Linked DNA regions of Lonchura striata. The protein of the gene in region 2 binds, or shares a complex with, the protein of the main gene of each other region. Links are inferred from orthologs where the notes say so. Each region holds a gene or a part of one and is shown on either strand. Other genes may lie near its edges.

Region 1 (11,801 bases), about 15 Mb from region 2:
TGCTAAAAGTGTAATTCACTATTTTTCTAAGTTGTTTGTGTTAGTCTTTACATTTCCAGAATATGAGAGCGTACAAAATTTGTAGATAATTACCTGAACAGTTGACATGGAATATTCATTATTGTGGTCCAAATGACAGTTCCCATCATTAGGAATAACAATCCCTGCCAGTTTACTGTCCATCCCAAAATGGGAATCAGCATCACTCACAAACACCAGCAAATGTAGAGAATCATTCCTCCAGCCAATTTTTTCCTGTAATTTAAAACACATTAGTTTAGCAAGCCATATTGCATCACAACATAGAAAATCAGCAAAATATTTGGAGAATGGCATCTCAAAATGAATGAGTTGTATCATTCTCAAGGAATTATCACAGGCAACACATCTCCTAAAAGATAATGTTCATTCCATTGTCTTTGGCTAACATTTTGTTTCCCCATCCCTATGTTTAATAACACGAGTTGGCCATGTTCATGTCAATCTGCTTACTACTCTAAACATAGTTAATAAAAAATATTTAAACGGAAAAACAGACACTAATTATACTGATATTTGGGCTTATTTGTCCATGGCAATTAAAAGGAAACTTAGACAAAAATATTGCAATATGCATGTTTTACTTGTACAGCCAAAAGTATTTTCACACAAATTTAATGAGGCTCTTGGTTTGTGTTAAAATTTTTTGAAAAAGAATCTGTCGTTTTGAAATACCAACATATAAAACTAGAAGAGATAATATATGAAATAATATTATACCTAGGAATCTCAATTACCTTGCAAACTGCTGCCTGCATGATTGCATCAAATCCTCCCTCTGGAGTGTCTATATTAGCAGAAATTCGCTGTCCTTTCACAATTTCATTGAATTTTTTAGCATCATTTGTTAGGGGCAAAACATTTTTATATCCAAAGGTGGGTAAGCACTCGTATGGTACGCTTCTGCAAGAAAAATGAAACAACTTATGGATAAAAGAGAGTGAAAAATCACTGGAATGGCTGCTTCAGAGGGCTGCCTGGATTAGTTTTGGTCTTGTCTCCTGTCTGTGCCTGAGCAGAATTAGTGAAAAACCTAAGATAATTAAAGAGCATTCAGTCTCTTGGGCAATGGAAAAAATCTGCAGAAAGGTTGGGAAATGCCTCCTAGAGCAGAGTAATTCTGTCAGTTACCAACGTGCAGCCCTTGCCATGCCTCCTGCTGTGCCTTGATCTCATATTTAGAATCATATTGGGATCTGTAGCTCCTTAATGGCACTCAGAGACAACCACCAGCTGCAGTCCTGCTCCAGGTTGCAGAGTCCAGCTTCTCCCCTGCACAGGTTAGCTGGGAGCTAGGGCAGCCAGAGGCTGGGGAGATTGATAGACCTTAAGGGGGAAAAAAAGCAGGAGAACAGCACTGATGGCTAAATGAAACTGGTATTCTCTGTTGGGTTTGAGTTTGCAACTCCTTAGTATAATTCATAAAATTATTTTAGATATATATATTCACTAGAAAATGAAAGAAATTAAAGAAAAAATACAAAACTACATGCCACATACCTTTTTGTTAACATATTGAGCACATTTGTAACGAGCAGCAAACGCTATAAAGCAGACTCACTCACTCCCAGATTCCTCTATCCTAATAACTTAAGATTCAACAGAATGATGATCAGAAGGTGAAAAAGAGAACCAAACTCTTGTTCCACAAACGGACTCATTTGCAGCTGGAAGAGGGGAGAGTTTCCAGGGAAGCCGCTGAAATTAATTTTAGCCTAAAGATTATGATAGTGTTGGCATGCAAACAGATGTTGGGACTTCCCCTGCCTACCTGCAAGGGTTCTTTATTTCTGCAGCTGTAGTTTTGATAAATGGTGAAACTGGTTTTTCAACAAAAGATCCAAACCCCAGTCTAAAGTTGCTTGTCAGTTTTGACATCTCTTTGGAAAGTGTTGAACCCAGTTCTTTGATTGTATTCAGATCATCATCCATGGAAGCTGAAAGATCCATGAGGTAGTAGAGATCAATTGGATAATCTTCAGTCTGGCGAACCTTGATCTGTATTGTTTCTGCATGTCCTGTTAAGGTCAGGGGAAAGTGGAACACATATCATCACTTCTGTGCAGAAAACATGAGCAATGCCAATTTCTGCATAGACCTAATATGGTGACAATTATCTGGTATTTTAAACCACCAGTAGCATTTGCAAAAATATTTCAAAGATTCTCAACAAAAAAATCTCAAATAAGGGTCTAAAAGATTAAAAATAGTTCTAATGTTTGGGGTGTTTTTAAAACAGCTCTTCAGTAACACCATAACCACAGAATTATAACTAATTGCTATAATTTGAAAAAAATATGAAAACATCTCTTCAACAGTATGCAGCTTTAGGAAATTTAGATATGAAGCTAATTACAACTAGAGGTAGCACTTTGGGGTCCTATCATATCCTTTAAAAATTTAAACAAAGTCAGAGTGTACACAGAGATTTTATTCTCAGTTCCAACACTATGACCTGACCTAACTAGATGTCTCTTGCTTTTTTTCATTCCAAATTTTCTCCAGGAAAAATTCAAATCTGAGGGACCCCAAGGTGGGTCTGGAATGCTACCATAAATGTCACTGCTTGCTAGACCAGCAGGGGAGAGGCACAGAGCTTGGCTGGGGAGGAGCCAGGGGCTTTCATTCTCTCCCTGCCACCTCACTGGCAAGAGAAGAGAGGAACTAAACATATATATCCTTTTTTTTATGATGTACCCAGCACTTCTGAAAATATTCTGAACGCAGTTGAACCTAGTTGTCATGTGATGAGTCAACAGATAATTTTGGACTCAACACAGGTTTTCATCTTTATTCTGTCAAGATATTTTTGAGATTGCTCAATCTTAAGAAGCTTCAGTTTATCACACTGTCTGAAATGAACCTATGAGCTGTGACTTACCTGGTCGCAGCCTCAGAGTTAATTTCTGGGGAGAAATCTGTGTGACATCAGAACTGGTCTTCTGGGATGATGCAGTTAGGGGATCATTTCTGTGAATTTCTACTTCTGAAATGGGGAACTCAATGAAATTCAGCTGGCATCCTTTGGACAAAAGATTTTCCAGGGTATCACACCTCCCATGAATTCCAGATGAGTCTGTGTAATTCTAATGCAATTGGGAGAAGGAAGGGATGAGTTAAATGTTTTTGCTGACTAGCCACATGCACCTGCCCACAAAAGGTCAGTCCAACTCAGGGAATAGAAACAAAGGTCCAAGTTTGTGCAAATTAGTGCAGAACTAGATATAGGTGGCACAGAAACCCAAATTTGCCCTTCATGGGTCATGTCACACAGGTGTATAATTAATGTAACTTACACCGACTTGTTATCCTGGGAGAAACTGCTCTATTGTTGGGGAATGGGAATTGTGCCACTCACTGCATTTGGCTTCTCACAGCACTGGGAATGATAACACAAAACCCCTCTGAGCCACTGGTTTTTCTGTCACAGAATTGTGCCACACATGCATCAGTCTTTCCTATACAGTTTAGAACTGCTGATTGAAGCACGCTATTTAATAAAATAAGAGGTCTTGCTGATAATAAACTCCTGGACTACTCGTGACAAACAGATTGTGGATACCCAGTGTTTACTGTTTCTTTTTTTCTGACCTACACTTTCTCCTCATTTAAGCTGTTCACTGAAGCAGGCATCAAGTCCTTGTTCCTCTGCCTGGTGCCCAGCAATGACCACAGCCTGTCCCCAGTGTTCCTCAGCACCAGTGGTGCTCCCGGCATCCCACATCTAAATTCAGCCCAGCATCTTCCTTGACCTTCTACCAGACAGAGGAAATCAAAAGCCTATAAATATCAATTGTATATCTCAAAGTTTATTGTCATTACTCAGTTCAAAGCATTGATATGCATTCCTTTCCACAGCACTGCTACAGGGTAGGTACTAACCTCACATGGTGCTGAAGTTAATGGTTACTTTTACAAAGAGGTTTCTGTGCCTTATTACCTTATTTCTGTGCCTTATTTCCCAGAGTTTTGTCTAGAGTCAAGATTCTCAAGATCAGTCAGCTGTCTCCTGGAAACTGCTCTGGCCTGCAAGACCTTTTGACCAAAGCCTGGGCAATGTCTGGCAGAATCAGATCTGAAACATTAAATTTCTGGTGGATAGTCATGGGCCCATACCATGCATCTGCTCTTTTCTCCTAGGTCTGGGCAAGCAACCCATGGATCAGCCATTAAGCCACAAATATTCTCTGAATTCAGTTGCTGAAAAACTTTCCATGCAAAACAAAACAAATTTACTTTAAACCTACTAAAAACAGACCTATGACCCTTTTTTTCCCACCAAAATATCACCCTTCATGCCTGAAAATTTTCAGGCATCTTATATATTTTGGTGGAAGTGTTGAGGCACCTGTTGGGAACAGTGGTTTATTATTCTCCAGCCTGAACCAGATGCCTTTGCTCAGGCAAAACTCACCCACTGCTTCTTGAATACAGCACACATAAATTACACGTACCATTATAAACCTTTCACAGGGAGATCCATATCGTCTCCTTTAGTTACACAGTTTGTAACTTTTCAAAATGTGTGAAGAGACAACCTCATATTTCAAATACAATTACAAAGTGTGTTCTTATCCTACAGAAAACAGTGGTTTCCTTAGAGGTGCTTTTGTATGCTTGGATACTAAAGCTCCTATGCCTTTTGCATGCTTTATGTGCTGTTTTCTAACAAAGAAATGAATGAGCTTATGAACAAAGAAGAAAAAGCATGTTTACTACAGTGAACTTTTCAATAGTTCCACAGGGTTTTTTTTTGGTTTGGTTTTGGGTTTTTTTGAATCAATAAATTATATTGGGCTCTTTTTTCTCTGAAAATACATGGCAGTAGTCAAAATTATGGGATCCAATTTCAACAAAATCCTGTTTTATAGTACAGATATAAAAACAACTGCAAACACACTAATGTGGGGTCTTTTTGACCTCAATGGTTAATATATTTTGCAAATTGCAAAATATATATTTTTAGAATTTTTAAATGAAATGCAGTTTTTTCTTTCTGAGCTATTTCATAAAGAGTGTTTTAGTCCCATACTGTGTCATTTTGCTATACACAAAAACAATAAAAGCTGTTAGCAGCAAAGGTGCAATCCAGAAACAAAAATGAAAAATACTTTATTTCTCTAGCATTTCTGTCAAGTTTCTGTTGCAATAGCTGACTATCTTGTTAATGATGATGAACTAAGAGCTAGAATATTTATTGTGAAGTGGGGAGATTTTATTTAGCACCATTTACAGAAGAAAGTTTTAAAAGCAGAAATGTGAAGTCACTTCCCCAGGGTTGCACTGAAAATCTGAAACAAAGCCATAAGAAACAAATCCAGATATACTTTTTAAGTTAAATGCTTTAGCCAAAACATATCTATATCATATGAATTATAAATCCGACATTATTGTCATACTTAAAATTAATCACAGTTTTATAATTTCTATATGGAAGTTCTACATCTGCAAACTTTTATACTCTTGATACCTGCAAACCTTCTGCTTGCACTGTCTGGCTTGGCATGTAATCTGTCAGATACAGTTTGGCCTCTGACTTTGTGTCTGGTGCTTCATCATCAGTGCTGGGGGTGAGTCAGCCCTTGAGCTGACGACCTGAGACCCCCTAATAACATTTCTATTTCTGCCTTAGATTTGAAAGGTTGATGTTTTCGTGGGTTTTTTCAAACAAGAAAACAAACAAATAAACAATCATCCTAACAACCATACTGTGAATAACAGACCATGGAGAGTAGATTAAATTCCACTTCTGCTCCCCAAGAAGGCTTCACTAAGCACTGCATGCATTACAAAACCCTGGGCTGACCCAATTAAGTCAATACTTCATCACTTGGAGTGACTACAAAGACTTAAGTCTTACTTTGAATTTTTTTTTTTTATCACTCTACCTCTTGCAAACACCAAGCGCAGTGTGGTCCGGAAAGCAAACAATCTTCACAAGTCACTGTGCTTTCCTGAGAACAGGTCCCTGAATTTAAATCCAAGAAGATAAAAGACTGTTAATAATATGCTGAATCATTCAATTTATGAAGAAACATGCCATCTAGAGAATGTGGGTGGTGAAAAATACACATATATAGCCATATTTAGGATTACTGATAAAATTTCTTCTTAACAGTAGTTCTATTGGTAAAAGATTAACTCTACAATAAAGATTAAAGCCTTAGAATTGCTGGCAATTAACATACCTCCTTTTGCATGCTTTATGGGTGGCATTCACTTAGAACATGTTACCTTGTTCCCTCCAGTGCACCTGAGAGAGTGTTACATGTATTTCTGGTATGGTGTAGGTAAGTCATTTCCCACATAACCAGGGATATTAAAAGAACAGATTTATGCTCACTCTCTATGCTTAATATTGCTTCACTCAGCTCCGTAGATGCTTGATATGATTTTTCTCCATTGTGTAACTACCAGAGAAATACTCAGCCATATGTATAATATGAAAGATTCTTAACAGATCAAACTGTGATTAGTGAAAATGAAATTGCTCAAATGTCTATCTCTTTCAAACCTGTTGCGCTATATAATGACCACCAAATTGTAGATGAATTGGCAATGCAGCCCTACAGCAGTCTATCCAAAAAAGGTCATTAAATAGAAAGATTAAATACAGAAGGCAGAGAGCTATTTCGTGTCAACTTCAAGCAAGAAACAATGCAAAATGATTTTGAAATTGATCTCCCTGCCCCTGAGCCTTACCTTGCACATAGTTATTTCTTAGCAGGAATAGGAAACAGAGGCAAAGCAATTCAATCCCCATTCGTTTTCAGTGCTGGCTGCATGACAAAAAAATATTAGCTTGTTAATTATCGTCTGCATGAAGGTAGAATGTCGTAAAAAGCATGCATTCCCGAAGGGTATGTTTTGGGATGTCACGTACACCGGATCGCGAGGAAGCTGCAACCCAGCGGGACGGACCATGAACAAAAGTGAAAACAAGGGCTACCTGGGCAGGTAGAGAGGACAAGCTGTGCACACAGTAACGTGAACATGGTTATCACTTCCTTGTTTTCCTGGGCTCCTTATAAGGCATACGGGGAAAATTCATTCAGGTGAAGATTCCTGTCAGTCCCAGTCACTCTGGGTCCTAGAGCAACCCAGCCAAGAGACCGTGTTTGCACTGTACAACAGCCCTTCTAAAGCTCCTTCAAAAGAACACCTTTAATTGTGCCCCGAGGGAAAATGGATCATTAAGATTGCCGAGTATATACCTGGAGAGAAGAAAAAAATCCCACTTTTTCAGATTTCCTGATGTGGAGGGAAACTCATAAAGGCAACTGTGAAGGGAAAAAACCCAAACTAATCGCAGATTAAAATTTAGGACTTTGCTTCAGTACTGCAAGATACCAAGTACATTGATTTTTTTTTTTTTACATTCCAAACGGAAAGGAAAATGCTGGAGTTGTAGATTCTTTTAATATATAGAAGGAGGAATAATTTTATTCCCAGTACAGCAACTGACTTGAAAAAAGAATCATGTAGCCTTAACTCTGCCTAATAAGCAGCTGAATATTCTACAGCACAGAAACAATTGCATAACAAGTTATTGCTATCTCTCATCCACCTTCCCAACCTGAAATGAAGGCAAAATATGTATTTCTTACCACCTTATTAAAAGAAAATAAAATTCCTTATTTCCAGATTTTATGTCTTCCCATCTTTTATACTCTGTTATTGCCTGTTTTAAAAAACATTTTTTCAAGACGAGTCCTGTCTTTTCATAAAGATTTGCAATAGTCAAAGTAGGGATGGGTCTGTATTAGTTAAATTCAACATGCCCAAAACATTCCTGGGCACTGGGGCCAACTGGCACAGAAAGACCTGAGTTTATGATTGCAAAGTACCTATTGGGCCAATTCTAGCAACCAAATTGTGCCCAGAAATTGTTTGCAGTGAGCATTGATTGGAAGAGGTCAAATTCATGCCAGGGAGCTTTTTAACAGTCTAATAGCACAGACAATCTCATTCTAGTGCTTGGAAATATTCCCAGGCACATCCAATTTTACTAGTGTTTACACAGACTATGGGTAATTTCAATAGCAACTCACCCTGGATTACATCAGGACTACCTTTGCTCTGCCCTTGTGTTCCCACCCTCTTTATTACTCATCGTTCATGCCCAAACACGCCGCGTTTCAAACTGATCCAACCAAACCCAATCACCTTCTGTGGGAAAGGTGGAGGGCTGGTTTTCATCTGGTTTTGTCCCTTAAACCCTGTGGCTGCCCAGTCCAGAGTTCAAGGCAGAACTGACAGGAAAGGTGAGAATTTGTTAGGCCAAATTTAGCCCAGTTTAGGCTGTTGCCAAACCGTATCTTAACATTTCTATTTACAACATTCCTAAATCTCCTTCAACTGCTCTCTATGCCTCAGAGTGCCCTTTGTAAGGCACTTGCTCAGCTACAGTGATTTTCTGTGGCATGAAAAAAACATCGATTAGATTATGTTCCCTCAGTTGGTGAAGACACAACTCTATGAGAACACTCTATGTAATTACATAAGGTCAAAAAGAAGTGGAATAAACCAAAAGTGTTTGCTCTTGCTAAGAGAAACATCCCCCTGTAATATGCTACTCAAATATCCTACTTCCCTGGCTCTGACTGACATTTCTCTATGTGTCCTTCAAGATTGTTACTATGTCCACAGCCTTGCAGACCCCCAAAACCCAGTGCTTTCTCTTTCAGTGTAGGTCACCTTGTAGCTCTGATGGGCTACTGGCCCCTGGGAACAGCAACACTTCAAAGCACAGGGCTTGGTGGCAGCGCTGCAGCCACCACAAGATAGCAACACCTGCAGGGTCTCAAACTAAGGACCAGTCAGCTGAACAGCTGGCAATTAGCAAATGCTTATTCTTGGATTGAAGATATCAAACTTTGAAGTGTAGAGAGAATTAGTAATATATCCTATATAAAACTTACAAATTCTATTTGATATTATCAGTTCTCCATTTGCTTGTGAGGTTAATATTTTGCATAGGTCTTGGCAAGAATAGCATGGCCGGAAGCTAAGTGCCTGCCTCTGAGTGAGGTGACTGCCAGACTATCTGAATTAAGCCTTTGCTGAATAAAATAGCTAAGTTTCTGCAAATTATTAGGAATATATTAGATTATTAATAGATCTATTAGATCACCGTGGATTGTCTGGAGAAAGCAGCGAAGGAAAAGAAAGTAGGAGAATAAACAACAACAGAAACAGACAAGGAAAAAAAAATTGAGAGCAGGAGCCTAAGAGAGGTCCTGAAAGAGAGACAGTGTGCACCAAGAGTAAACCTTGGGCAAGGTAAGAATACCTAAACAGGAAGCAGACATATGATTCTTGTTTTGAAACACCACCTGTGCAAACTAAAGGTAAGTTGACCAGGAAGTTCCTCTACTAGATAAATGCTTTATTTGCTTTAATCATCACTAGAAGAGTAGAATCTCAATCTGGAGTAGCCATGCTGATGTGGGAAGGATGTATAAAATGCTCTGGGGTCATGGTATTACTTGATTTGGCAACAGGGTTCCCATTCTTCATAAGGTTTTTAATACAGTCTCGCATCACCCACCCAAATTAAAAGCATTGATTCTATGAGATAGAACAAAAAGGAAGTTTACAGTAGAGAAAGAACACAATTATGATTGTTTCCGTCAGCCACTATATTATTTTGGAGGAAATTCTGGTCTCTATTAAATCAGAGTTAGAGTTTTTAAATGACACATCAGAAAAGAAAACAGTTTATCATTCAGTGTAGGCAGTGCTGAACAATGCAAGTCTTCCCTCCATTCCGGGCACAAATATAGCCCTGACCTCTCAGCTTCACACATAAGCCAGCTCTTGATTCCCAGCAATCTAGTTATACACATCCTGAAAGCCTGGAAAAATATGGAACCATTTAAAGTCTGAGTGTCCCCCAGCTGAGATGATTCTCAATATTTACAAAGGTGCAGGGAGACACTTCTTGTGCTTGAGAAAAGCTTTCTCAAGTTTGTGAGGCAGAGTCTCCCTTCTCTCCACCCTATTCCTACTCCTCACTGCATCTGGAAGAGGCAAAGGGCTGCACTCCTTAGGCCAGAGGCATGTTGCTTTGTACTTGAATCATCTGGTGACTTTATTCTCTGTCTGGTTGACTTCCCAGTCAAATCCTCAAAGCTCCTGACGATCTCTAGCAGGGAATGAAAGTAGACTTTAATACTTCAGTCAAACTTTTTAACCTGAAAGGAAGTAAGTGAAGATTCTACAAAAGTCTACGGATTAAAACACTTCTCTCACAAAGAAGACAAATGTTCCATAGCTGCATAGTCAAGTGCTTCCATACTCTTGGGCCAGCAGAAGTGGAAAGCATTTTTCCTTGGAAAATCTGCACAGAAATATATGCCCCAGCAGTCTGATAAGACCCAGTTCCAAAGTACAGCAATGGCAAATGTTTCAGAGGATGCCTGTGAGTTAGCTGAACAATGAAGGCTGAAAAAAGTCTCTAAGCTTGAAATTTTGGTTCATCTTTAGGGAGCTAGAGATGATGTGAATATCCACACAGTGGTGTGAGAGTTCTGCACACAGGTCAGTCCAGCACAGACAGAAACCACACACAAATACTGCACAGACACTGCAAGGACTGTCTTGTCTCTGTCTCTGCTGCAGTACAGATCTGACAATGCTTTAGGGAGAGCTGGCAAAAACATTTCAAGAGGAAGCAACAATCCCTAACAAACAGTTGTATTTAATGGGGAAATTCACAGTGAAGGTGAAAGTAACAAATCAGCAAAATCTGAAACTTTTGCTTCTTTAATTATTTTGCTGCCTTTTTTTTTTTTTTTTTCAGTTGATACATCTGCTCTCTCTTTCTTTATTAATCATCATGGTGGGACATGGGTATTGCTCCAACAGAAAATTACATACATTCAAAGAAACTGCTGTAAGCTTTTGAGTCCTCTATGGGTGACCTGGAGCTTGCTGAAAGGAAAGTTCTGAACATACTGTGATGGAGCTGGTTCATTCCAGCTCCTGTGTTTTGGGGTGTGCTAATACCATATTCCATTAGGGGCCTATGACCAAAACACTGCCACAGAGCCCAGGGAGATTTGGTCTCTCCTAACCTCCAGGTGCTGTTTGCCAGCATGGCTACACACGATGGAGTGCAGTTTTGGAAGAAGAGTGGGGGTGTTTTTAGCCTCTTCTGGAGGGTCACAGGAGATGGAGAATCACACAGAAGAGAGGAATTTTCCCCTCCAGCTCTGAGCAAAACAAGGTGTTGGGAATCGGTGACTCAGGTTGTGATTCATGCTCTGGTCTCCTCTTGTTTCCGGAACAGTGTTAGAGGAGGGCAGGGAATGAAGTCAATAGCCTGTCCCTGAACAAGCAGAGGGGCAGAGAAGGAAGGAGGGGCTGCTCTCCAACTGTACAGTGAGCAGCAGGCAGGAAACTCAGGGTGTTTTCAACTTGTATTCACCTTGCCCACAGCTCTGACCTGTCTGTCTCCAGCCAAGGGCATGAAGAAACCTTTGTTCTCAGTTTTTTGGCATGGGTGAGCAACGTGAAAGATTTGTTTGGTTTTCAGATTTGAAAACACTCTCACACTCAAAGATAAATAATCAGATCTCTGAACTGCAGAAGGGCTCAGGTGGAACTTGTAGGAAAATGGAGTGGGACTGCCAACTAGCCCACAACACCCTAATTATGCCAGGGACTTGCACACATCCCATCAAAACTCACCTTGGTTTATGTGTGCTTTTCTTAGTTACATAGCACCCCTTGCTTTCCCTACACTATAAGAATGTGGG
Region 2 (11,801 bases):
TAAGAAGGTAAACAGGAATAGGGTTTAAAAAGTGTTTAAATCAGATCTGTTTCTAGCTGGACTTGCAGAGTAACCTGTTAAAGTAACAGCAGAACTGCTTCATATTTCTGTTTTGCATAGGACTAACAGAGGTGTGCACTTGCTCTGGTGCTTGGGTCCTTCTTAACCCACTACCTTGATGTGCTCCTAAGAGCAGAAGCCAGCCTGAAACACTTGCCTGATGACATTAGAAAGTCTTTTTTTAAAAGAAATATTCAATTTCTAGCCCAAGCACACCCAGCACAGCCATGTGCACCCTGAACTTCAGGGCAGACTCTAGCACACACGTCTGCTATGCCACTTTCACATAGTCATAACTGTGTTAAATCAAAGCCAACTGATGTCACTGCTAAAAGGCTGAGAAGCCTCACAGCAAAGCATCTTTACATTTGGGAAGTGTTAATGTGCCATATAAACATTTTGCCTTCCAAAGCCACCATATATACCAGAATGTCAAAAGCAATTAGTGTAATGTGCACAGAAACACACAGACAGAATATTCTCCAGTGTATTTTCAGTGAGTATAACCACTGTGCTGAGAGATCCAGGACAAGGGGAGATTCCCTTCCACAAATTCTCCCTGCCCATAGCTGGGGGTGGGAACTAGATCATCTTCAGGGTCTCTTTCAACCCAAACCATTCTGTGATTCCATAAAATATATTGCTGTTTTAAATTAGAAAATATGCTGTGAAAGAATATTGCTTTTTTTAGCCAGAGGTTTAAAAATTATAATGACTGCTTTTATTTGATTTTGTTTTTTTATGTTACAGGCTGATGGGAAGGGTATGAAAAAGAGGGAAAAACATGTAATTTCAGCATGAGAACTACATAAATGGACTCCTACTGCCCAACTCCCATCCTGACAGAACTGAATGGTCACCCACAGGAAGGAATACACAGAGTAGGAAATTCTGTAGTACAGGAACTATCAGCTCAATGACTTATCTGCTTCCTCCAGGGCAGCTGGGGTGAGGGTAAGTGCAAGTAAGCAAGCAATGCTGCTGAACTGCAGGGCTGGAACAGCTCTTCCAAAGGTTATCTTCCAGCAGCTGGTACCTTTTCTCCTAGGCTACAGAAGAGCTGTGGCATTTGATCACCTAAATGACCATGCTGCTCTGCAAATATGATATTAAAGCCAAAAGCAAGAGCTAGAAAGTAAAACCCAGCCCTGTCCAACCAGTGAGCTCAGCGTGGCTTTTGTATAGATGGGGAAGAGAAATGGACCCATAAAGCCTCAGAAAAACTTAAATAAAAAACAAGGTCTGTTGAAGAAGAAATAGCCCTAATTAAGAGTAATAGAACAACATCTAGAGAAAGAAACCCTGCTTGCTGGACTTCTGCAAAACTCTGGCCTCATATTTATTTGTGATAAAAGACAAAGGGTCATGACTCCTGTTAATTATGGGCATCCAACTCCACTTACAGAGTTTGGCATCATCAGACAAACAGAGGAAAGCCACAAGTACAAGCATTCTCATTATTTTCACAGGTCAGATTTCTCACTGGCTGTAAGCAATTAGAAAATAACCCTGAAGAAACACATCTAAGTAATGATGCAGAACATGGTTTTTCCAGTAAATCTGGGAGGGAATAAAAAATCTGCCTTGTATCGCAGGGCTAAGCAACACCTCTGGAGTTACAGATGGTAATGCACCAATGATAAGCAGTGATGGATCAGCCTGGATTCCTGTTAGAGGCTACATTTAGTCATCTACAAAAAGCCCCTTTGCATCAGCACCACAAGTTAGTGGTCAGATCTTCCACTTCCTGCTCCCCAGAGTGGGTCAGGAATCTTCCCCAAGCCCTGTTCCCTAAAGAGGCAGGGACAGGCAGGAGCAGGGCTTACAGTGCTGGCTGTGACTTTGTCACCAGAACACAGGGAATTGAACATTGTGTTATGCACAAAGAAAAAGACATCTTCTTTTTTGTCTCAGGGCATTTATTATTTTATCAAGCTGAAATACAATGCCCCTTTTCACCAGGATAATAATTGACAAATGCGTTATTCCCCCATTCATTGCCTCAAAGCTGGAGTGAGTAAAGCCTGCCTGAAAAAAATCCTCTTAAGCCCTTATGACCTGCTATTTTTACTGTTAAATTTCAAGCAATTAACATGCCTGATCCTTAAAGGCAAATGACAAGCAAAACACTGTCTGTTTGCCCAGAAGCATGTTCCTTAAACACAGACATGCAGGAAAGCAGCCAGTGATCTCTATCAACTCCACCTGGCACATGGAAAAGCCTACTGCAAATGTTCATAATTGCACTGTAATTCCCATTGAAAGTTGTGTCTAGAACCTACATGTGTGGCTCATCTTTCCCCACCAGAAGTTTTTGGCTATATATTAATGATGATTATTAACTAGGGACATCGAGATTTTTTCTTAAAAGCACCCACACTAACAAAATGTACACTTGTATTCTAGTAAACAAAAAGCCCAGAGAACAACAACAAGAAGATAGTTATAATCTGGTTTTGCTGCTTTGACACTGATGCAGAAAAAAATGTCAGACTTTGCAGCTTATTAGAGATTTTTAGTAATCTGACAGATATACTCCTACTGAATGATATGAGGGAATGATAATGACTTGGGGTTTGTGGGTGCCATTGCAAACATCTTTTCTTTGTGTTTTTTTGCAATGGAACTGGTGACATAGTGGTTTTCACAAAAAGATATGAAGACTTCAGGAATCTGAATACCAACAGTGTTTTGTGGCATACCTTGACAGTGGAATTGGAAGAAGAGCTTCTCCACTCTACTGCACACAATTTAAAAAGGCTGCATCATTCTAGCAACTTCTAGACTGCCAAGTCAAAACACTGGCAGAGGCAAGAATGAATTACAACCAACCAGATCTTCAAGGCACAGGTGTTTCCTCTGCCTTACCATATGGGTCTTGCTAATCCCCTCCCATGACATGGGGAGGTTTTTCTGCTGCCCTGAAACATGCTGTGGAAAACAGGATTCAGCAGCGAGTGGCTGGAGCAGAAAAGCACATGCAGTGCATTCTCATGACCTGCCACAGCCTGTGGAAATCACTGTGTGCACCAGAGCATGAAGAATGGCTGAAATTGTTCACGTCCACACTGCTGCTGCTCAGCTCTTCTGTGCTTCAGCACAGGGTAAGGAATGCCTATTACCTGAGTGCTGCTATCATATAAGCCACAAACACTGTGGAGCTATATCTGAGGGGAAAAAATTTAAAAATACATTTTTTCTCCACAGTTTTTAGGACATACTCCTAGTTTTAGATGAAACTTCTGGGTATTTCTGCCTAAACCACCTTTGCTGATATTGAAAGTACCTTTCCTCATATGACACATTCTTAATAGGAAGAAAACCCCTCAGGGTTCATTGGGAATTAGGTTGCCAAATGTTTTAGGATTGCTGAAAAGTACAGAGGAGAAATATAAATAGGTTAAAACACAAGAAGAATAATGTTTGCTCACTCAGGCTTTCAGCACATACCAGGGACAACAGAATTCTAACAGAGAGGAGAGGAAAAGGAAAGCACAAGCACGCCTTGACTAGCTGCCAGTCAAAAACCAACCACATTCACAATGACCATGAAATATCCCAGAGGGACATGAAACCTTTCTGCTTCCCCACAGCAGCATCAGAGCAGAGATATTCCATCTCCTCCCACCCACACATTACCTGTGGCATCAAACACAATGGGCTGGCAGTTCCTGTTGGAGTTCCAGTTGCATTTGAGCACCTGCCCTCCCTCTACGATGTTGTGCTGGGTAGTGTTTGCTTTCGGAGCTCCCACCAGGAGATACGTCCTGCAGGAAAAAGAAGAAGCAAAACAAAGGTTTCAACACTTAAGGCACAGCTGTTATAACTTTATGACATCTGAAGAATCAATAAAGCAGAAATCTACTCTAATCTAAATCCAACTCCAACTACTCTCAGTTACAGAGAAATTCATATGAGGTTCTCTTTTCTGCATCAAAAGCATGCAAAAAAACTTAATTTACCAAAAGTAGAGGAAAAAAAAAGATATTACAAATTTAAAGTATCCAGGCTTCCTTAGGATTATATTTTAAATGAGAGAAACACCTTTCATGCTCTTTTTTCATTTCAAAAATATGTATGTGTACAGCAGAGCAGGAAATTGTGTACTTCTGCACCTTACGAAAGCCATCAGGTGGCATAATTTCTGTTAATTTTGTAAGGGTAATTCAGGGAAGTCAGTCAAAATGGAAACAATATGTAAACAAAGCAGCAGTGCTCTGGGAGCTCAGCATGTACTGAACGTGATGAGTCAGCCCTGCCTGAGCAAGTGCTCCTGTAAAAACAATCTCCAAGTGCCAGCCACTCCGAGCCACAGATCTGCATGTTAATGAGTCCTTACCCACACCCACTGCACAGGCATCATTTTCTTGTTAGCATCTGCTGTGCTTTTCTGCACCTCTGCTTTACAGGCACTTGTTCCGTGCACCCCGAGCAGGAACTGCCTCGAAACTGTGCCTGCACAGGTGGCAAAATTCAGACGTGTCAAAGTAAGAAACACTGAACAAGGCTCTTGGCATCTTCCAGGACCTTCCAGGAGCCCCAGCACCTCTGAGACCCCACTTCACTCATCAGCATTTGCCTGAGAAAGTCAATGTGAAGCATGAAGTCATGCTTAGAAGACAAAATCTAGTGCTTCCTTACACTATAATCATTCTGCTCTGTGGCTTACTGCTTAAGAGGGAATGCAGCTTGCAAGAGCAGGTCTTGTCAGGCACTACAGTTCTCTAGTTTGGAAACTGGTTAGCTGAACAAGCTGCAGGACTGGTTGGAGAGAATGGCTGCAGGCAGGCAAACCCAGGCTTATCAAACTTGCTTTGGTTTTCAGAATCATCTCCAGGCTCCTTTCCAGTAGAGAGATAAGTATAGGTATAAACATATAGCACCTTATCAAAGCTCAGTTTGCATGAAGACCTACCAGTTTTCAACCTGTGTGAATTTTCAGAACCATAAAAATGTCCTGGCATGGACCCTGATAGAAAATCCAGGCTAGCTGGCAATCCATTTGTTTTCCTGAGTTGCCATTCTTAGACTGTTTAGATTTTTGAAACATTTTAATCAGTTTAAAATCAGCTCTCTGAGCAGAACAGAAATGCTTAAAAATGAACATTATAATGCCAAGTAAAGAAACATATAAATTGTTATAATTACCACCTATTAAAAAAGTGGTAGCTTACCTCCCATTTTACTCTTGTACCACTGACTTTTGAGAAGTCCTCCAATGACGCTTATTTAAAAGATTTATTCATTCCAATTCTAATTATATATTTTAAATTTTTATTAAGCTAACATTTGTGATGAAGTTTATTAAAAAAATTACAAATAAAGGAACCATTATGTGGTTCCACAAAGGTTTTTTCCCCAAAATGCATTTTCATCATCAGAGACCAAGCAAGCCGATTTTGTCACAGCTCTTCTAATAATATGCAAATTACCCAAATACTTAGAAGTCGCTAATGCACATACAGAATAGAGGGACAATTGCATTTCCATGGGAATACACCAGCTATGCTTTGATACTGCCAATTTCCTGTATCATGCTCCTGAAGCACCCACCCCATCCCAACGCTGGGGCAACACCAGGAGTGTTCTGGCACCTTTGGTGTGCCTACAGGAACAGCCCCTTTCCAGGGCTTTCCAGGGCCAACAGAGGAGCTGGGGCTTCCATGGAGGTGCACGCTGGACTAACAAGAGGGGGTGTGACAAACCTGCTCCAGCTGTCAGGGAGCTGTGCTCCTGTGAAAGCTACACCCACTGCCAGGCAGCACACAGCCCCTGCCTGGCACAGCACCATCACTTCCACGCCTGCGTTAGGACTTTCAACCTGGACTTCTAAATATGCTTCAGTCTGGCATCCAGCAGGTCAAAATAGACTGTGAAACAGCAGCTGGAGCATTCAGGAACTAACAGCATGCCTTTGTTGTCAGGCTAGACAATCCAAAAAGCTTTAGCCCAGCGAAACTGATCTAATCTCTGGTACTCATGGATAAAACAGGTGATGAAGAAAAGCTCACCAAAGCAAAAAGAAAGGCGTGAAACCTTGTGACGCCGCACAAGCCTGGACACTGCATAGAAGTATTTCTGGCTATTTCAGGAGACAAGATATCAGTGGCCATAGGCATAAACTGAAAATTTAACACCACTAGAGCCTGTTCCTCTGAAAGCTGCAGAACTACTTGATTCAATTAAGAACTTAAATGGAGATACAAACAAACTTCTAGTGATGACCAAAAAAAAAAAAAAAAAAAAAAAAAAGGTGAGAATTCCCTTTGAAATATACAGAAGCTTTTCATGCTGCCTGACAACCACACTGTTTTCTTTAATAGCAGTGCAATTTGAGGTCAATAGTTCTTATAAAAATAATGGAAAGGTTCCAAATAGTGATTTCATGGAGAGTTGTGTCACATAATTCCTTATCAGAAAGCAGGGAAGAAAGTTTATTACATGCATTTACCAGTCTCTTGATAACTGCAGGCCACACATGCTGACTTAAAAATAAAGGGCGGGACAAAAATAGAAGTTTTTTTCTTTTAGTACCAAGACTTACAGGATTAAGATAGTGGAGAAAGATGGTGCAACATGTGCAAGTTAAGACAGGCTGGCTTCTAATATATGTACGTCATAAAAAAATTCAAACAAAGCTAGATGATGTACTGCAGAAAGACTTGCTCAATAGCTGTACAATTTGCTTATAAAGTTTTACAAGCTAAAGATTAAGGGGGGGGGGGGGGGAGAGAATACCTCCTTAGCAGGATCAAAGCCAGCAACTTTTCCAATTTTACAGTCCTTAAGATGGGAGAGGGGTGGGAGAGAAGTGACAAAAGCTGGTTTTACTGTAGCCCGCATTTCAGAGCCAGAGCCTGATTCATTCTGGCAACACCGAGGCTGTGCGAGTTAGTGACACAAGGATTCAAAGGTCTGAAACGCAACAGCGACTACACTCTGCCTAATGTTTAACATGAAACGGGAACATATTCAGGAAGCAGACGTGGAGGGTGCTTGTATGGAACTTTTCTTTCTCTAGACTCCTCAGCAGCTTGCTGACTCGCACAGACTCACCACAATTCAAACAACATTCCCGCAAAGCACACCCAAAGAGAAAACAGCAGGTTTTCTCAAATGCCACGGGACACAGCTTCAGCAAACAAAGTACCATAACTACATCTTTCTACACTGTTTTTATCGCCACCATCATTCGCATGAGACCAGGCTGTGCAGAGAATCCCGCAGCGCAAGGTTCATTGCCCCACCGCAGCCGCGGCCGCTCGGGATCGCCTTTGGCTCCCCGGCCAGGGGAGGGATGCGGAGCGGTCCCTGCCGGGCAGCGCCGGGGGCAGGCGCCGGCTCCAGCCCCGCTCCGGGGCCTGAGCAAAGCCGCGTCCCCTCCGAGAGCCGCCCGGCCCGCCCGGGCTGCTGAGGGCGGGGGCAGCTCGCCATCCTCGCCGGCTCTCGCCCCGCGCCGGGACAACGCCGCCCTGCTCGGGCTCCGCGGGGAGCGGCTCGGCGGGCGGGCGGGACGCGCACTTACGAGAACGGGTCTGGGGCGAAGAAGTCCACGGCGAAGCCGAAGTAGCTGCCCGCCGGGCCCGAGTAGACGGCCGGGCGCTCCACGTCCAGGTTGAAGGCGCTGCCCGGGGCCAGCGCGGCGCCCAGCAGGAGCAGCAGCGTGCCCAGGCGCGCCATGGCCCGGCCCGCGCTGCTCCGCGGGCGCGGCTCTGCCGGGACGCGCCGGCCCCGCGCCTTTCCCGCGGCGGGGCGGGAGCGCGGCGCGGTCACTTCCCCCTTCTCGCCGGGACGGGGGCGGCAGGAAGGAGAGGCGGCATCATGTGGTGCCGGGGGCGGGCCCTGGCCGCTCCGGGCCCGGGCCGCCGCGCTCTTCCGCCGGGAGCGGGCGGGGAGCGCCCGGCACGGCCCGGCTCCGGCGGGACTCCGGGCCCGGAGCTGCCCTCGCTCCAAGCATCCCACTGTTCTCTCCGCCCGAGACGAAGGCTGGAGGAAGGTCAAGGAAATTCTTCCTTGTGAAGCCCTGGCACAGGTTGCCCAGAGCAGCTGTGGCTGCCCCATCCCTGCCCGGGTTGGACACGGCTTGGAGCAACCTGGGATAGTAGAAGGTGTCCCTGCCCACGGCAGGGGCTGACATGAGATGGTCTTTAAGGTCCCTTCCAACCCAAACCATTGTATCATCCTATGAAAGAGTGCTAGAAATTTGAAGAGGGGCACGCATCCCTGCCTGGCTTTACCAAGTCTGTTTGGTGAAGCCTTTCTGAACAAGTCTTTCAGCAAAGCTGTTAAGCAAGGAGTGAAGGGAGTGCCAGTGTGGAGCCAGCCATGGAGGAAAAAAAAAAAAATCTCGATTTTCAAATACATAGGCTATTAAATGAAGTAATTTTAAATCCCAGGGTCACAGCACCTCCCCAGCCACAGGAATGCCCAGCAGCAGGTGCAAGGCAGGGAAGAGGGAGCCTGTAAATCCTCCCTGATGGAGGTCCCTGTTACTGTTGCACCCCTGCACTACCCACCTAGGGAAGAACCACGCAGCACAGCTCCAATCTCTTCAGTTGTGGTTTGGAGCTCTTGTATCATCGCTCACTAATAACATTTTAGCACTATCATCCCGACTCAGCCAGCTGCAGGCTGCTGTCAAACCCATCCTAGCCTCGCCCTCCTCAGCCTGTAAGAGAGTTCAACATCTGCTGAGTATAGATAGCAGTGTCTCAGGTAAAACAAAACACAATGAACACCTACAAAGAGCAAAAAATTCATATTAATTTGTACAACATAACAGGACTGGAGTATATTGCCACCAAAAGTCTAAACTTTTTGTTTTCCTCATTGTGAGCATGATAAAAAGGGACAGAACAAACAATGATGTTTCAAGCCTTAAATAAAAGCTAAAAATACCCCATACATATTTACCAAGGGACTGATTTAGTCTAATGGGAATCCCAAAATAAAAACATTTCTACGATAAGCAGAGGAAAACCCAAAGAATCACCAGCTACTCCTCTGTTCCATTCACTTGTTCTCGCTATTAATTATAATTTCTTTGGGAAGTCACCTTAAAAATTCTATCAAGAAAGGGAGTTCCTATACATAAACTTGATGCTTGTTGCTAATTTTTCTAAGTTTGCTGCCCCCTCAACATATTAAAAAAAACCCAACCAACCAACCAAACTCCACATTACTTTTATTGTTATTTACTGACTTGTCTCAGAGCTTTTATACTACAGACCTGATCAAAGCAAAACTACAGATGAGTTAATAAGTTTCCAAACATTAGTAAATAGGGCAATAAACTAAAGAGTAGTTTATGAGTACTTTGATCAGTAAATCAGTAACTTAGGAAAAGGAGGATTTATTTTCTCTACTTGATTGAATAACCTCACAACGTCACACAAGCAGTGAAGGATAAATTATCTTTAAGACACTAGAATTTTTTTAACCAAATGATAATTTTGGCTTTCTAGGAACTGGATAACCTCACAACATCACACAAGCAGCAAAGGATAAATTACCTTTAAGATATGAGAAATTTTTTTAACCAAATGATCAATTTTGGCTTCTTAGGGACTGGATAATCTCACAACATCACACAAGCAAGCGAAGGATAAATTATCTTTAAGACACTAGAATTTTTTTAACCAAATGATAATTTTGGCTTCCTGGGAACTGGATAACCTCACAACATCACGCAAGCAGTGAAAGATAAATTAGCTTTAAGATACTAAAAAAATTTTAACCAAATGATCAATTTTGACTTCCTAGGAACTGGATAACCTCACAACATCACACAAGCAGTGAAAGATAAATTAAGCTTTAAGATACTAAAAATTTTTTAACCAAATGATCAATTTTGGCATCCTAGGGAGTGTATAACTCCCCAACATCACATAAGCAGCGAAGGATAAATGAAGGATAAATTATCTTTAAGTTATGAGAATTTTTTTAACCAAATGATCAGTTTTGGCTTCCTAAGGACTGTATAACCTCACAACATCACACAAGCAGTGAAGGATAAGATATCTTTAAGACACTACAATTTATTAAACCAATTTTGGCTTCCTAGGGAGTGGCTGCGCAGCGCTCCTTGTTGTCAGAAATCGCAAAGCCAGTCCATAGGAGCAACTCAAGAGTCAGGGGCACTCATCCCTCATCCCAAACGCTTCTCTCCCTTCAAGAGGGTTGTTCTTTCGCAGCTGCTGCGTGTGTTCCGTGCCCCTTTGGGCAGTGCAAGGTGCCCTGCCTCAGCCCCGGGCAGGGCTCCGCTCGCAGGGACTGAGTCACCGGGGCTGCAGGAAGCGGCGGCGCTGCCGCCTGGCCCCAGGTCACAGCACAGGCGGAGTCGAGCAGTCTAGACAGCCCCAGAGCCGAGCCACAGCTCCCCGGAGGGCATCACAGCCCCCAGCCTCCTCGTGGGAAAAGCAAATGAAGCGCACAGGCTTGGGATGCGCTTCCAATCAAAGCCAATCTTACTGTAAATGACAGAAAGTGAGTGATTGATTCCGGGGCTTGCATCGAGTTACCCTGCCTGACACAATCCTGTTTATGTAGAGCAGCAAACACCCTTCCAGCGAGGATGTGATTTTCTTTCCTAGTTGGTTCCGTTCTCAGCATGACTAACATACAGATAAGGAACAGCCAATGAGATCATATTATAGAATGTAAACAAGTTAATTATGTGTTTCTACATTTACTTGTTACCTGTAGCTTTCAGTTCTCAGGCTAAGATATCTGGTGGTGAAAAGACAACAACTAAGAAGTGGGCAGCACTTGGATTGCTTCATAGACACCAAACTTTTCGATTATATTCAAAACAGAATGCAATTATTTAGGAATTGACTGGAGTCTAAAGACTGCAACTCTATGCAACAGACCAAATTCATATTTCTGTTACAAGTTATGGTCTTATTAGCTTTTATTCAGATAACAAGCTATTAATACAGCTGAATAAAACTTTGCAAGATGCAAAGAACTTTTGGTAGGCAGTTTTTTTTGGGTTTTTATTTTTGCTATTCCTGAGTGTCCAGCCTGTAACAGAGTATTTCAGAATGTTTCTCCTTTGAGTCTATACCTCATGACAGGAAAGGTAGCAGCAAGGAAATGGACTAAGTGCCACAATTCAGTAGAAACTGCAAATGTGCAAACCACTGTGGTCCTACTTCAAACGGTCAGCAAGAGGTCCTGTATTTAAGCAATAAAATTCAGCCTCTAAGTGGATTTGGTGCTTTACAGTACCAGCAGAATGAATATCTGGAGCAAAGGATCAGCACTCATTTATTCATCAAGACTATTAGTGTCCCAGAAAAGCCTTCATTGATGTGAGAGTTCTAGTAAGTATTTTGCTCTCATGCCATCCAGACGTTTGAGCTTTTCAAGAGGCTTAGCTGCTCTGAACAGACCTTTTAAGAAGTAACTCAGTTTCTAACAAGGCAGTAGAAACCAAAGTAAAAGATGGACTTTACCTATTAGTTTGCTTTGGTCAGGTTGTGCCTTATTACTTCTATTTTGTTTAATATTATCTTTGATATCCATTGGGAAAAATCAAACATTACATCTGAAAACTGGAAGCATTCAGTGGAGAAACAGGAGGAAACCACTAGAGATGTTTGGGCTTGATTTGCTCTATTGCTCCTATGAGCAATTCACATGAGCCAAATCTCATTTGGCTGTTAGCAAAAGCTGTCCTTAGCCCGGGGCTATGGGGCAATGCTTTCACAACAAGAGTATGGCTGCTACATTTGTTA

The links.
Region 1: the proteins of ITGAV (region 2) and ITGB6 are in contact, whole or in part, in a crystal structure (PDB 9CZA), measured with the Homo sapiens proteins. The link is inferred for Lonchura striata from reciprocal best matches to the Homo sapiens genes ITGAV and ITGB6. Residues at the interface, in NP_002201.2 of Homo sapiens: Tyr48, Phe51, Lys72, Trp123, Leu141, His143, Gln150, Glu151, Arg152, Pro154, Asp178, Ala179, Phe184, Gln186, Phe189, Pro204, Tyr208, Trp209, Asp249, Tyr251, Tyr254, Pro274, Arg275, Arg278, Thr279, Met302, Ala303, Tyr305, Phe308, Pro328; in NP_000879.2 of Homo sapiens: Ser183, Pro184, Phe185, Lys187, Thr188, Thr189, Pro190, Ile236, Asp237, Thr238, Pro239, Asp273, Ser274, His275, Phe276, Gly277, Met278, Asp279, Lys281, Leu282, Ala283, Gly284, Val286, Pro288, Glu308, Thr311, Ile312, Gly313, Gln314, Ile316.

Annotation. Positions count from the first base shown.
Region 1 is NC_134610.1:16,541,979-16,553,779, forward strand, and holds the start of ITGB6 (integrin beta-6), read right to left. Parts: upstream 6,803-11,801; coding exon 6,742-6,802; intron 6,008-6,741; coding exon 5,928-6,007; intron 3,126-5,927; coding exon 2,921-3,125; intron 2,058-2,920; coding exon 1,811-2,057; intron 943-1,810; coding exon 777-942; intron 256-776; coding exon 94-255; intron 1-93. UniProt on the Homo sapiens protein: Integrin alpha-V:beta-6 (ITGAV:ITGB6) is a receptor for fibronectin and cytotactin. It recognizes the sequence R-G-D in its ligands. Internalization of integrin alpha-V/beta-6 via clathrin-mediated endocytosis promotes carcinoma cell invasion.
Region 2 is NC_134610.1:31,991,127-32,002,927, forward strand, and holds the start of ITGAV (integrin alpha-V), read right to left. Parts: upstream 7,775-11,801; 5' UTR 7,741-7,774; coding exon 7,586-7,740; intron 3,828-7,585; coding exon 3,700-3,827; intron 1-3,699.